Saccharomyces cerevisiae S288C: one gene and its partners. The gene in region 3 interacts genetically with the main gene of each other region. Each region holds a gene or a part of one and is shown on either strand. Other genes may lie near its edges.

Region 1 (4,505 bases), on a different chromosome or scaffold from region 3:
CCCTGTTCAACAGTTTAGCTAATGGAGACTGTGAACCAAAATCTTGTCCAAACTTCCAAAAGGACCCTGACATATTTTTTCCTAATTATTAAATGGGCAAAACGATAAACGCCACTATTCTTAAACACTAACTAAAACGAATTTTTCAGAATCTCTAATCAACTAAAATTAGCATGTATTACCTCAAGCTAAAAATATTTAAAGATCTTAGTAAAATATATCTTTTGCGTACCTTTCCCAAATACACAAGCTAAACTACCCTTATCAAGCAGATCTGGTGAAATTTTAAACAAAAATAGTCCCGTTCGATGACTTCGAGCGATGCCCAAGCTTTTCTCATTCTCTTCGGAGTGTTTTGGCGTTAGCCGTCAATCCCTCGCAAAAAAAATTTTCTTCCCAGTTCAAAATGTAAAAAAAAAAATAAAAGGTATACGGTTACCCTTACCCTCAGTCCATCCAACCGTAGTGGTTATATAATAATACTAAGAGCACCGTTTTGTTCAAGGTTGTACTGTGTGATCTAGGTCGGCTATCCACGCAAGCATGGCATCGATCATGACCATGATTTCGTCTCCTATGGAAGGTTGAAGAAGGATCTTATTACGCAGTATATGCGTCCCCAATTCGTTGCATAGCTTTTCTAGCAGTTGCAGATTAAATATCTGGCAATAATTATAATACCTGCAATCATATGATATTTTCTTAATTAATAAACTTATTATGGTATCTGTGTCTAGTAATGTAACCTCTTGAATATTTTTTGGAGGTTGCAGGTATATTTTTAGCAGCTGCTGGCAACTTACGGGGTCGAATCGAGCTACTATGCTTGTTCTTAGACAAGCTACGGCATCTTCCCAATGCCAGGTACGCAGCATGATCAAACCCAAAAGTTCCCACTCTAATCCGCTGTGTTTTTCATCTTTATTGCTTAGGCTAATCTTGCTCAATTTCAAGTCTTGATATAAATCTAAAAATAAATCATCTAGCCACCCTTCACAAAACCTTTTCTTTCGGGATTCCATCGGTATATGACCGTTTTCATCGATAATGTTGTTAGAAGCTTGATAGAATTCAGTTTCCATCATGAAAGCTTCTGTTCGGATGTTTAATAAGCCATTCCAACCAATTTTGTTCACAATTTCCATTAATAACCCATATATTTTACCACTAAACCATCCCAATTGTTTGCCGATCGTATTCCTTGCTATTAAATTGATATTTTTTATGTTTTTGACCTCTTGAGGGGAGACATAATTAATCAGATTCACAGATTGTGGACCACAAATCGGACCCAACTTTATCGCAATATCATCCCAGATTTCCTTTGTATAACCGATTTTTTTTTCGTTTATCATTGCGATTCTTCCAAAAATTTGCCGTTTTAACTCATCCTCTTTCCAATTCCTCAACGTTCCCGAGAGATTCGTGAATTCCATTGCAGTCAAGTCGTAGTGTTCGCGGGTACCATTCAATGGCTTTTTATAATAATTGGAGGTAAGAAACCTACTGTACATTGTTTCCAGGTGTCCATCATTTTTGCGCAAACGAGGCATTGAATTTATTGCGAAGAGAGCCTTTTCATACTCCTCTTTTTTGATGTGGCATCTCGCTAGGTTGTACCAAGATTCAAAAGAGTCTAAGGCTAGTTCGGTTGATGTGTTAGAGACGCCTAATGCTAGTTCGTAATCACCCCTGTTTAACAAAAAATTTGTTTGAATGTTCAGCAAGTCACTCATGCAATTCATTAATCGTGCTGAATCAGCATCGCGAGGCGGTAAATCATTTAGCAGAGATAAAAGGGGGTCGAGCGTCTCATTTAAAATAGTTATCATGTCTAACTCCTTTGTTTCTATGTGATCTAGAATTGTGATCATAGCCGTCTTGTAGTATATGTCATGGATTGGATCTTTCTTGGTAAGTCCTTTCAGGTAGTCGATTGTAAAATCCACTAGGCTTGGCGTGATTGCAATAAAACTTTTTAAACTATACATTAAATAGTTATTGACAATGGTGGCTTGCATACTCTTGGTAGAATCCCACCCGCAATTCAGTGACCGTGGTAAGAATCGGCAGAGTAATTCTATGATCTTTTTGCAAGAGGAGATAGTATCTTTTCCAACGTAGAATGGACACTCTACTAAACCGGGAGGTTTTAACTCTGGATTAGTATTTGTTATTATCGCTCGGATGACAGAACTTGCGAACGTTTCTTCCCACATTTTTTCTGTCATGGTCAGGTCAGTGGTTTCCTTGTTACAGTCAATTGCCGTTGTCTGGAAAGTATCGTCAGCATCGTATCTAATACGGATGTCTAGATTGCTGAAAAAATTAAAACAGCAATAAGTCAATATGATATTATTCGATATATTTTTGGAAATCCGCTTACTCGATTTTAGCACTTCAAGAAACTCTACGGGCATTGCAGGACCGGAAACTTCGATCCCTGTAACGTAGAAATATTCACCAAACTCTTCTTTTTCATGTTTGTTTAAGTAGGACATGTGAACAATCTCAATGGGACCTAGTCCAACATTGCCAGAAGAAATTAAATCCTTGATTAAATGCGTTCTATTGTGCAGACACTCACCAAACTGCCTTTCCATAATTCGTGGACAACTTTTAAATATGTCTCGATTGAGGAATTGATAACCCTTTTGTACTGAAGGTGAGTTCCCAGGTGTATAATCGCCACCAGGTATTTCATTTTGCTTTTTGGTTTCCGATGGCCAAAACAAATTCATAAGGGCAATAGATGTAATCCTTTTTTGCACCAACAGCTTAAGAAAGGTGTTTGCTTTTAATGTGAGTTAAGTAATGTAATGATTTGTTAAGATCCTCTATTCCTTTTTGAGTATCTATTTATTTTCCTAAATTCTTCAAGGCTATTTTTACCATGAATCCGCTAAGATCTGTTTGGGTTCCGATTTTTCGAAGACACACAAAAATAATAGCCGGTTGCTTTCTAACACTACAGAAAGAGGTTTTTTCGAAAGAGTCTATTTCCTATATGCTAAAGTAGAGTTATGATTTCTTTATATTGAGTATGTATTGAATTATTTTCCAAAAAATCAACACCAGGTGAATACGGGGGTGGAATTGACTATTTGTAGCCGCTCTGCTATCACTGTTTTATTAGCAAATGGGTGCAGAGTGGAATCATAGTATACAGGATTACTATTGCTTTGGTTATGTGCATGAAATGGAATTGTGCTTGGGGTGCTAGGGAGTACCATTGGTGAAGTGGAATATGATCCAATAGGTTCGTCTATGGCGTTTTTGAAAATAGAAACTGGAGGTGGGCAACAGGGAACTTGCATCTTCTCATCTATTACCTGGCACCTTGTCCTTCTAACCAATTCCAAGGGGCCTTGTCGTGGGTCTTTCAATGTTTCGACAACGTTGAACGCCTGTCCTTTTAATACTGCCCATTGCTTCTTCCACATTCGGACGTTAAAATCTTGGTCCCTGCTAAATAGGGCCAAGAATTCTTGGTACGACTCTTCCCACCAATTAGTGCTTGTCAATATCGGTAGGAAATGAGATCTCATTTGCTCAGAAAATGGTTTGGCTAGTAGTTGCAGAGGCAAATACAACCAGCCATATGGGTACAGACGCCACTCATCAGGATGCTTCCAGGGAAAGGACAACCCATTGTCGATGGCGGCTAACTTGAGTCTCCACTTATTGTTTGAAAGTTTGATTAGTTTCACCATCCAATTGTCTAGACCTCTATCTGTGTTTCTCATTATATAATCAAGGATAATTAGTTTTTCTAGTTCCAATCTGAACTGACTCAAACTTGATTCTGTCCATTCAAATTTCGAATTTTCTTCAGATTCCGTCGAAATTGGAGAGGAATTTATTTGCTTGGACGGTTCTGTCTCATCTGTTAGGTTCCTGGTTGTCTCTGGTTTATGATTGATATCTTCGCCGGATGACTTACGATGAAATGAATGTTTAACATCTGAATACATCCCAGGTAATGGGTATTTATGAAAGAACTCATCGGCGTTGATGTACTCCTTCAAAAAAAGTTGGAAAGAACCCAGCTTTTTTTGTTTCTTCTTCTGAAGGTTGTATCCCAATACCCATTTTTTTCTATTATCATAAAAATTAAAAGACTCTATAGATGCAGTATCTGTATAGGGTACTAGATGCGTTTCCAGTCGCCTATCCAACAAACTAGCCGCACTTTCACAGATGTACCCGAGGTTTGGAATCAGACAACTTCTGCCAAACAGACATGGGAAAAACGTGCGGTGTGCCCATTTGGTCCATTTGGGAGAAAATGGGCCATATGGTTCCTCATCCTTGGGCTTGAAGACCCCCACCGGAACGCTTTCGTCGGCCCGTGTTCCATACACAAAGTACGACCCACTTGAGCCAGTTTGGATTCTCTCGAGTTCGCGTCCAAATGTCTCTACAGCCTCAATACAGTCAGAAACCAAATGGTTGAAGTTTTCCCTCTGTTCTTGTTCTTCTTTTCTTCGGAGCTGCTCATATGC
Region 2 (4,364 bases), on a different chromosome or scaffold from region 3:
AGTCCTTCTAGATGTGTGCTCAATAAGTGTAGTCGTTTTAGATGGTTTTAGCCATCCGAAGAACGATTTGTTTCTCTTAGAGGTCATTTTTGGTGCCGCCACTTGATCTTTGTCTCTTTTAGAATATTTACGTGGTAAAGATTTCTTGCTTATAAGAATTAAATCGTCCATGAACCAACTGGAGCCGTTTTCGGTAATTAAACCGTCATCAAAAGACTCTTTAAGGTAGAGTGCATCCATGGGGTGATTATTGTGAAAGTTTTTATTTGATTTTGCGCTCATTTCTCGTACAGATACTTGACCATCTCTTGAATATAGTGTAGTAGAATTAGAGTTAACACTACGTAAATTTGATGTACTAAATTCCCGTGATCCTAGAGTAGAGAACCTTTTCAAGGAAGATTGGTTATCTGATATATTTATTGATGTTCTAGATTCTGTGCATAACGGTAAAGGCGTTTCATTTAACGTTTTATAGTATTCGGAAAGTTCTTCGATGATCAAATGTTCGCGGGAGTATATTTTCAATTCTTCGTATTCATTTTCCTCTCTTAGTGCCCTCAGTGTATTGTTGATAAATGCAACCATGGAAAACTTAATCTTTTTATGGTCAACTTGAAAGTTGTTGTGCAAATCCGAATTAAGGATCAACAGGGAAAATAAGACTATATGACATGACTTATAGCCTGACTTCCAATGTGTGTTCGGGTGGCAAGCTATCCATTCTATGCTCAAGCACTCTAGTATCCGGTCGATATTTTGCGCTTCTGCAATGAAATATATACTTTTCGATAAATTGAAAAGCGTTTCTAATAGTGACGACGGCAAAGGACTCAATAACTTTACAAACTCAGTCAAGACTTGATTATTGTTATCGTTTCCCAAGAAATTTGCATATTCCTTGTAAGATACATCTTTGAAAGTGCCTTCCAAGATCTCTGAGGCAATAAGATGACTATTCTGATCAGTTTCCTCGGATTGAGTGGAGCTAATATCTTCAGTACCAGTCCCCGCAGTGGCGGTATCCGTAGTAGGTATCACAGGTTTTTCGTCATTAGCAGCTTCCTTGTTTTGTAAAATATCACACATGTTGACCATCGTGGGAGACTGTAGCATATTTTTCATGCTAGTGGGCATCGACTTACTACCATGAAGGACGCCCTCACTTTCACTGAAATTGTCATTGTAGCCCTTTTGTGAGACCCCATAGGTGTCATTCTTTTTTACCTCGTTTAAACTGGCGCACATACCTCTTTGCGATCCCTTAATAGTCCATTGACTGCACAAAATTGTACCATCTAGTCAGCCTTACTGATCTCAAAGTTGATCCGTAAGATCAATGAACCGTCTCTATCATCTATAGATATTTTGCACCCAAACATCGCATTTTAAGTTCATTTGATTTAATATAATACATTTGAACATGCCATCGCACTTAGCTGCCATGTATAGGCCATAACTAATCGCTAATTATTTGTTGCAACTATCTGCAAATCTATACGACATATGTACATATGACTTTCACGAGTCTTCATGCATGTTTTAAGAAAGGTCATCGTTATATTTTCCCACGTTTCACTTCGCGTTTTGACTTGCTAAAAAAAGAACGAAAAATTCTTTCTGCAGACCCTCTCGAGGATGATGTAAGATTTAAGAGTAGAGACAAACTAGGTGTTGGCACTTGACTTTAGACTTGCTGTTAATAAGCCTTCCATTGTATACTACCAGGTTCTCGTCTTTTTTGGTGATAAAGTTAAAATAAAAGGATAAAAAATGGCAAGTTCACCGCAGGTACATCCATATAAGAAGCATTTAATGCAATCACAGCATATAAATTTTGATAACAGGGGCCTACAGTTTCAAAACAGTTCGTTGAAGGTAGGTCAAGATTTTTCAGATAATAAAGAGAATAGGGAAAACAGGGACAATGAAGACTTCAGTACCGCAGACCTTCCTAAGCGGTCGGCAAACCAACCGCTTATCAATGAGCATCTTAGAGCTGCGTCAGTACCTCTACTATCAAACGATATAGGCAATAGTCAAGAGGAAGATTTCGTTCCAGTCCCACCCCCACAGCTTCATCTTAATAATTCAAATAATACTTCCTTAAGTTCTTTGGGAAGTACTCCTACAAATTCTCCGTCACCGGGAGCATTAAGACAGACAAATTCGAGTACATCTCTTACGAAGGAGCAAATAAAGAAAAGAACTCGTTCTGTAGATTTGTCTCACATGTACCTGTTGAATGGTAGCAGTGATACCCAATTAACGGCTACTAATGAATCTGTAGCAGATTTGTCACATCAGATGATCAGTCGATATTTGGGTGGTAAAAATAATACTTCCTTAGTTCCAAGGCTAAAAACAATAGAAATGTATAGACAAAACGTTAAAAAATCTAAAGATCCTGAAGTGTTATTCCAGTATGCGCAATATATGTTACAAACCGCACTGACTATTGAATCTTCCAATGCTCTTGTTCAAGATAGTGACAAGGAAGGAAATGTCAGCCAATCTGACTTAAAACTTCAGTTTTTGAAAGAAGCGCAAAGTTATTTGAAGAAACTGAGCATAAAGGGTTATTCAGATGCCCAATACTTATTAGCGGACGGCTACTCATCCGGAGCATTTGGGAAGATTGAAAATAAAGAAGCATTTGTCTTATTTCAAGCAGCTGCAAAGCATGGTCATATAGAAAGTGCTTACAGAGCATCGCATTGCTTAGAAGAAGGACTAGGAACAACAAGAGATTCTCGTAAGTCAGTCAATTTTTTAAAGTTTGCGGCTAGCAGGAATCATCCCTCAGCAATGTATAAATTGGGACTTTATTCATTCTACGGCAGAATGGGTCTTCCAACCGACGTTAATACTAAATTAAATGGGGTAAAATGGTTATCAAGGGCTGCAGCAAGAGCTAATGAGTTGACGGCCGCAGCACCATACGAATTGGCTAAGATTTATCATGAAGGGTTCTTAGATGTTGTCATTCCGGATGAAAAGTATGCAATGGAACTATATATTCAAGCAGCAAGTTTAGGGCATGTTCCTTCAGCAACTTTGTTGGCACAGATTTATGAAACAGGTAATGATACAGTAGGGCAGGATACATCACTTTCTGTACACTATTATACGCAGGCAGCGTTAAAAGGCGATTCTGTGGCAATGTTAGGTTTATGTGCATGGTACTTACTGGGAGCAGAACCTGCTTTTGAAAAAGATGAAAATGAGGCTTTTCAATGGGCCTTGCGTGCAGCTAATGCTGGTTTGCCAAAGGCCCAATTCACTCTGGGCTACTTCTATGAGCATGGCAAGGGCTGTGATCGTAACATGGAATACGCATGGAAATGGTACGAGAAAGCTGCAGGGAACGAGGACAAGAGGGCGATTAATAAGCTACGCTCAAGGGACGGTGGACTAGCCAGCATTGGTAAAAAACAGCATAAAAAAAATAAAAGTATCAGTACTTTGAATTTATTCTCTACTGTGGACAGTCAAACAAGTAACGTAGGGTCAAATTCAAGAGTTTCTTCAAAATCTGAAACATTCTTTACTGGAAATCCAAAACGTGATCGTGAGCCACAAGGTTTGCAAATTAACATGAATTCAAACACGAATAGAAATGGTATTAAAACGGGTTCTGATACAAGCATCAGGAAAAGTTCTTCCTCAGCAAAGGGAATGTCAAGGGAAGTTGCTGAGCAGTCGATGGCAGCAAAGCAAGAAGTTAGTTTATCAAATATGGGCAGTTCAAACATGATTCGTAAAGATTTTCCTGCAGTAAAAACTGAGTCAAAAAAACCTACAAGCTTGAAGAACAAGAAGGATAAACAAGGTAAAAAAAAAAAAGACTGTGTAATTATGTAAGTACACATACTAGATTGTTTTCATTCTTTATAGGTGCAACAGTTTACACTCAATGCATATAGTGATACAAATATTTTACAATGGCTATATCCCCTTATTGATGAAGTTTTTTATTTTGCAGTATGTCATTATTTTCAGTTTCTTCTCCCTTCAATATTGGCTCGGTGGTAAATCTTCTCTTCAAATTGTTCTGCGATTCTCGTCCAGTACCCTCTGTATTTGGTAAGGTCTTTGATCTATTGGACTTGGCCGAGTTTATGCTTTTCGGTATAAGAACTTTTGGTAGAGGTTGATCAGGCACTGGCACTGGGGTTTTTGGACTGAATTGTGAAAGAGGAAAATTTTCATTAGTTGACAAGTTTGGTATACAAGTACGAGAATTAGATGTGTCGTCTTTGCTCTTATTTTCAGCATCCCTATAAATCTGAAATTGTTTTGGATAATCCAATAAGGGTAAAGCCTTGATTACTGACGCTTCAGGTCTTGTATGCTCATGAAGG
Region 3 (3,895 bases):
ATGCTCCCGTAGTTGAAATTCTAAAGAAAACAGTACTTTTCCAGTTGAATTCGTTGAACATCTGCATTTCAAACTTTGCATTGGATGAGCTGGTCAACCTCGTGACCGTCCAAATGGACGGCATGTTTCGGAACCTGCACAATTTAACACTTTTACAAAGAAGGTCGCAAGCTTCTCAAGCAGATTTGAAATTGTTGCTTCGAGAGTTTAACCTGGATGCGCCCTCCCTTTATCAGCAGTTTCAGGCCTCAGAATTCATCAAATCGAAGCATTCCACGGAATATGAAAAATTGATGAGCTGGTCGTCTCTTGCTGCTTTACCGCATAACGAAGAAGATGAAGAGGACGAATTGAATAATATCGAGGAGCAACAGAACGAGATCAACGTTTTGCTGCCTCCCTCTAACCCACTGGAAAAACAGATACCGAGTTGGCTGCCCAACTTTCCGCCTGACCATACCTATAAGTTTACACCTGAGTTCAACCATCCAATTACTGATCTAAAAACCATCAAGAAAGAAATAGTAAAAGAAAGCCAAGAGTCTGAAAAGGCACTATTGAACTTGAACAAAAGTCTCTCCCACATATCATCAGCGTCAAATACCCCGCAACCGCCGGGTTTAGACGATGAGGACGCTATCGAGCAACAATTGGAGATTTGGGGCAACGCGCTGGAAGAAAGGAAACCAACCATAACTGAAAAGTCCTTCAATGAAAACAATATCGAGCAGTATGCGAAGTATAGAGTGGAATTGGCGAGAGAACGTGTCACGAAATTTGAAGTGAATCAGTTGAAAAGAACAAAAAATCCATTCTTGAAAATTTCTGAAACTCTCTACCTTCCAGAGAGTCCTCACCAGTCTCACAAAACCATACAAAAAACCATAGAATTGCAATTTCGTAAGTCTATGACACTATTCATGCACAATTTACCTAAGGTCCAGAAGTTGAAGAAGGAAAAAATACGAATGGCCAAGGAAGAAAGAGCAAAATCGCTAAAACGTCGGCAAGAAGAGCTTATTTCACAACGAACAAAGAGGGAACAAGATGAAGGCCATGATCTTGAGCTTCTACTAAATAACGAGCACGCAAGGGACGCTGCAGACGACACGACCACCCCTAATGCATTAAACAACTCTACCATAGTTATCAACACAAACGCCGAGGATGAGGACGATGACATAAACTTATTTGGCATCTTAGGGAGCAGTGAAGATGAGAATGAAATGTCGAGTATGCCTGCGGAGAACCTGGTCGCGGAATCGGAACCGCCAACAATGACAGCGCAAGATACTACAAATACTACACCTGTAGCACATAACACAACCAATATCGATGCTACTACAAGTCACTCTCCTCATTCGACGCCTAATGAAAACGCCCCGACATCTCCTCCTGCAGATATAGCCACAGATCACGATATAACTATGTAAACAACTGCTTTCAGTGAACCAGTGTTTGTCCCTAATATAATAATACGTATTCAATTTATCTCCGGAGAGGAATTTTTTTTTTTTTTTTTTTTCGTTCTTCGGCGACTATACCGAAACAAGGCTTGAAATATTTAGAATCAAAGAAAGTTTACGTCTTGTAAATTAGTAAATGGTAACGTGAAAGAAGTAGACGTAAGGGTGCAGTAACAGTCATTTGAGCTTGTTGACCTACCAATTAACACAAAAAAATGGGCATGTTTTTTAATTTAAGGTCAAATATAAAGAAGAAAGCCATGGACAATGGACTAAGCCTGCCCATTTCAAGGAACGGTAGCTCGAACAACATCAAGGACAAACGCTCAGAGCATAACTCCAACTCATTAAAGGGCAAATACAGGTACCAGCCGCGCTCCACACCGTCTAAATTCCAGCTTACGGTGAGTATCACATCTCTTATTATTATCGCCGTTCTGTCGTTATATCTCTTTATATCATTTCTCTCCGGAATGGGCATTGGTGTATCCACGCAAAATGGTAGGTCGTTGTTGGGTTCCTCAAAATCCTCCGAAAATTACAAGACTATCGACCTAGAAGATGAAGAATATTACGACTATGATTTTGAGGATATCGATCCTGAAGTGATTTCAAAATTTGATGATGGTGTGCAACATTATCTAATATCACAATTTGGTTCAGAAGTGTTGACTCCCAAGGATGATGAAAAATACCAAAGGGAACTCAACATGCTTTTTGATTCCACTGTTGAGGAGTACGACCTGTCGAATTTTGAAGGTGCTCCGAATGGATTGGAAACACGTGATCACATTCTTTTATGCATTCCACTAAGAAACGCTGCGGATGTATTGCCATTAATGTTCAAGCATTTAATGAACCTAACCTATCCACACGAGCTGATTGATCTGGCCTTTTTAGTCAGTGATTGCTCAGAAGGTGACACTACGTTGGATGCTTTAATAGCGTATTCTAGGCACTTACAAAATGGCACGTTGTCTCAGATTTTTCAAGAGATTGACGCTGTCATTGATTCGCAAACAAAAGGCACCGATAAATTATATCTTAAATATATGGACGAAGGTTATATCAACCGTGTCCACCAGGCATTTTCACCACCATTCCATGAAAATTATGACAAGCCATTTAGATCAGTACAAATTTTCCAAAAGGATTTTGGCCAAGTAATTGGACAAGGTTTTAGTGACAGACATGCCGTTAAGGTTCAAGGTATAAGACGAAAACTAATGGGGAGGGCAAGAAATTGGTTAACTGCCAATGCTTTGAAACCTTACCACTCATGGGTTTATTGGAGAGATGCTGATGTAGAGCTGTGCCCTGGTTCAGTCATTCAAGATTTGATGAGCAAAAACTACGATGTTATCGTCCCTAACGTTTGGAGACCACTACCTACATTTTTGGGAACTGAACAACCATATGATTTGAATTCTTGGATGGAATCTCAGGAGGCACTAGCATTGGCAAAGACTCTTGACGAAGATGATGTTATTGTAGAAGGCTATGCAGAATATCCTACGTGGAGAGTTCACTTAGCCTATATCAGAGATGCAGAAGGTGATCCAAATGAAGCGGTGGACTTGGACGGTGTAGGGGGAGTTTCTATTTTGGCGAAGGCCAAAATATTTAGAAACGGGGTACAGTTTCCTGCATTTACTTTTGAAAATCATGCAGAAACAGAAGCATTTGGTAAAATGGCAAAGAAAATGGGGTACAGGGTTGGTGGTTTACCGCATTATACTATTTGGCATATTTATGAACCGAGCGATGACGATTTGAAGGAAATTGCGTCAAGGGAAAGAGAGAAGAGAAGACAATCAGAGTAAGAATCATGATGACATTTAATATTAATTTAATTTAATTTAATTTTTTGTTTTGTTTTATTTCGTTTTGTTTTTTTGTTCGGTATTGATTTTTCTTCTTTTAATCCTCTTCAATGGATTGAAAAATATATATTATGTAGAGTAAATAAAAGACCTCTTAAGGATAAGGGGTAACCTGGGATCTGGTTACAGTTCAAGGCTTCGTTATTAGGGAGCGAACAATAAAGATTAAAGGGTACTAAAAATTGTACTATTACTAGTTGCATGTTGAGATATGAAGACTTTCAGTGTCTAAATGCCCCATGTCTATATAATCGCATGACAGCGGTGTATTTCTATCTATTTACCTTAATAACCGCTTTCCGCTAAGCCACAGTGCAATCGTATTCTGCAGCAGCTCTTGCCCTGCGGCCTTTTATGAAGCTTTCGACCATGTAAAGCCCGCTAATCATGCATGCTAAACTTGCCAATCCTATCCCAAGGTACTGAGCACCTCTATAGCCTTTCAAAAGATGCTTTCCGTCTGAATTGACCTGTGTCTCTACTGTGGCACCCATACCGAGACACAAGGACATGGAGTAATTGACAACAGTATTCACCAATGACCCA

Evidence for each region. A genetic interaction does not mean that the proteins touch.
Region 1: mutations in VAN1 (region 3) and CHS6 are lethal when combined (synthetic lethality), as found in Saccharomyces cerevisiae (3 studies listed by BioGRID, with this or other methods).
Region 2: mutations in VAN1 (region 3) and SKT5 are lethal when combined (synthetic lethality), as found in Saccharomyces cerevisiae (3 studies listed by BioGRID, with this or other methods).

Annotation. Positions count from the first base shown.
Region 1 is NC_001142.9:237,650-242,154, reverse strand, and holds CHS6 (Chs6p), read right to left. Parts: upstream 2,742-4,505; coding exon 501-2,741; downstream 1-500. Other genes in the region: SAP185 (Sap185p), read right to left, coding at 1-73; 1-phosphatidylinositol 4-kinase LSB6, read right to left, coding at 3,069-4,505. UniProt on the Saccharomyces cerevisiae protein: Member of the CHS5-ARF1P-binding proteins (CHAPS) which mediates export of specific cargo proteins, including chitin synthase CHS3.
Region 2 is NC_001134.8:104,816-109,179, reverse strand, and holds SKT5 (Skt5p), read left to right. Parts: upstream 1-1,773; coding exon 1,774-3,864; downstream 3,865-4,364. Other genes in the region: Arf family guanine nucleotide exchange factor YEL1, read right to left, coding at 1-1,248; KIP1 (Kip1p), read right to left, coding at 3,959-4,364. UniProt on the Saccharomyces cerevisiae protein: Activator of the chitin synthase CHS3 which polymerizes chitin, a structural polymer of the fungal cell wall.
Region 3 is NC_001145.3:39,581-43,475, reverse strand, and holds VAN1 (Van1p), read left to right. Parts: upstream 1-1,681; coding exon 1,682-3,289; downstream 3,290-3,895. Other genes in the region: TAF8 (Taf8p), read left to right, coding at 1-1,433; ATR1 (borate transporter), read right to left, coding at 3,652-3,895. UniProt on the Saccharomyces cerevisiae protein: Involved in regulation of the phosphorylation of a number of proteins, some of which appear to be important in cell growth control.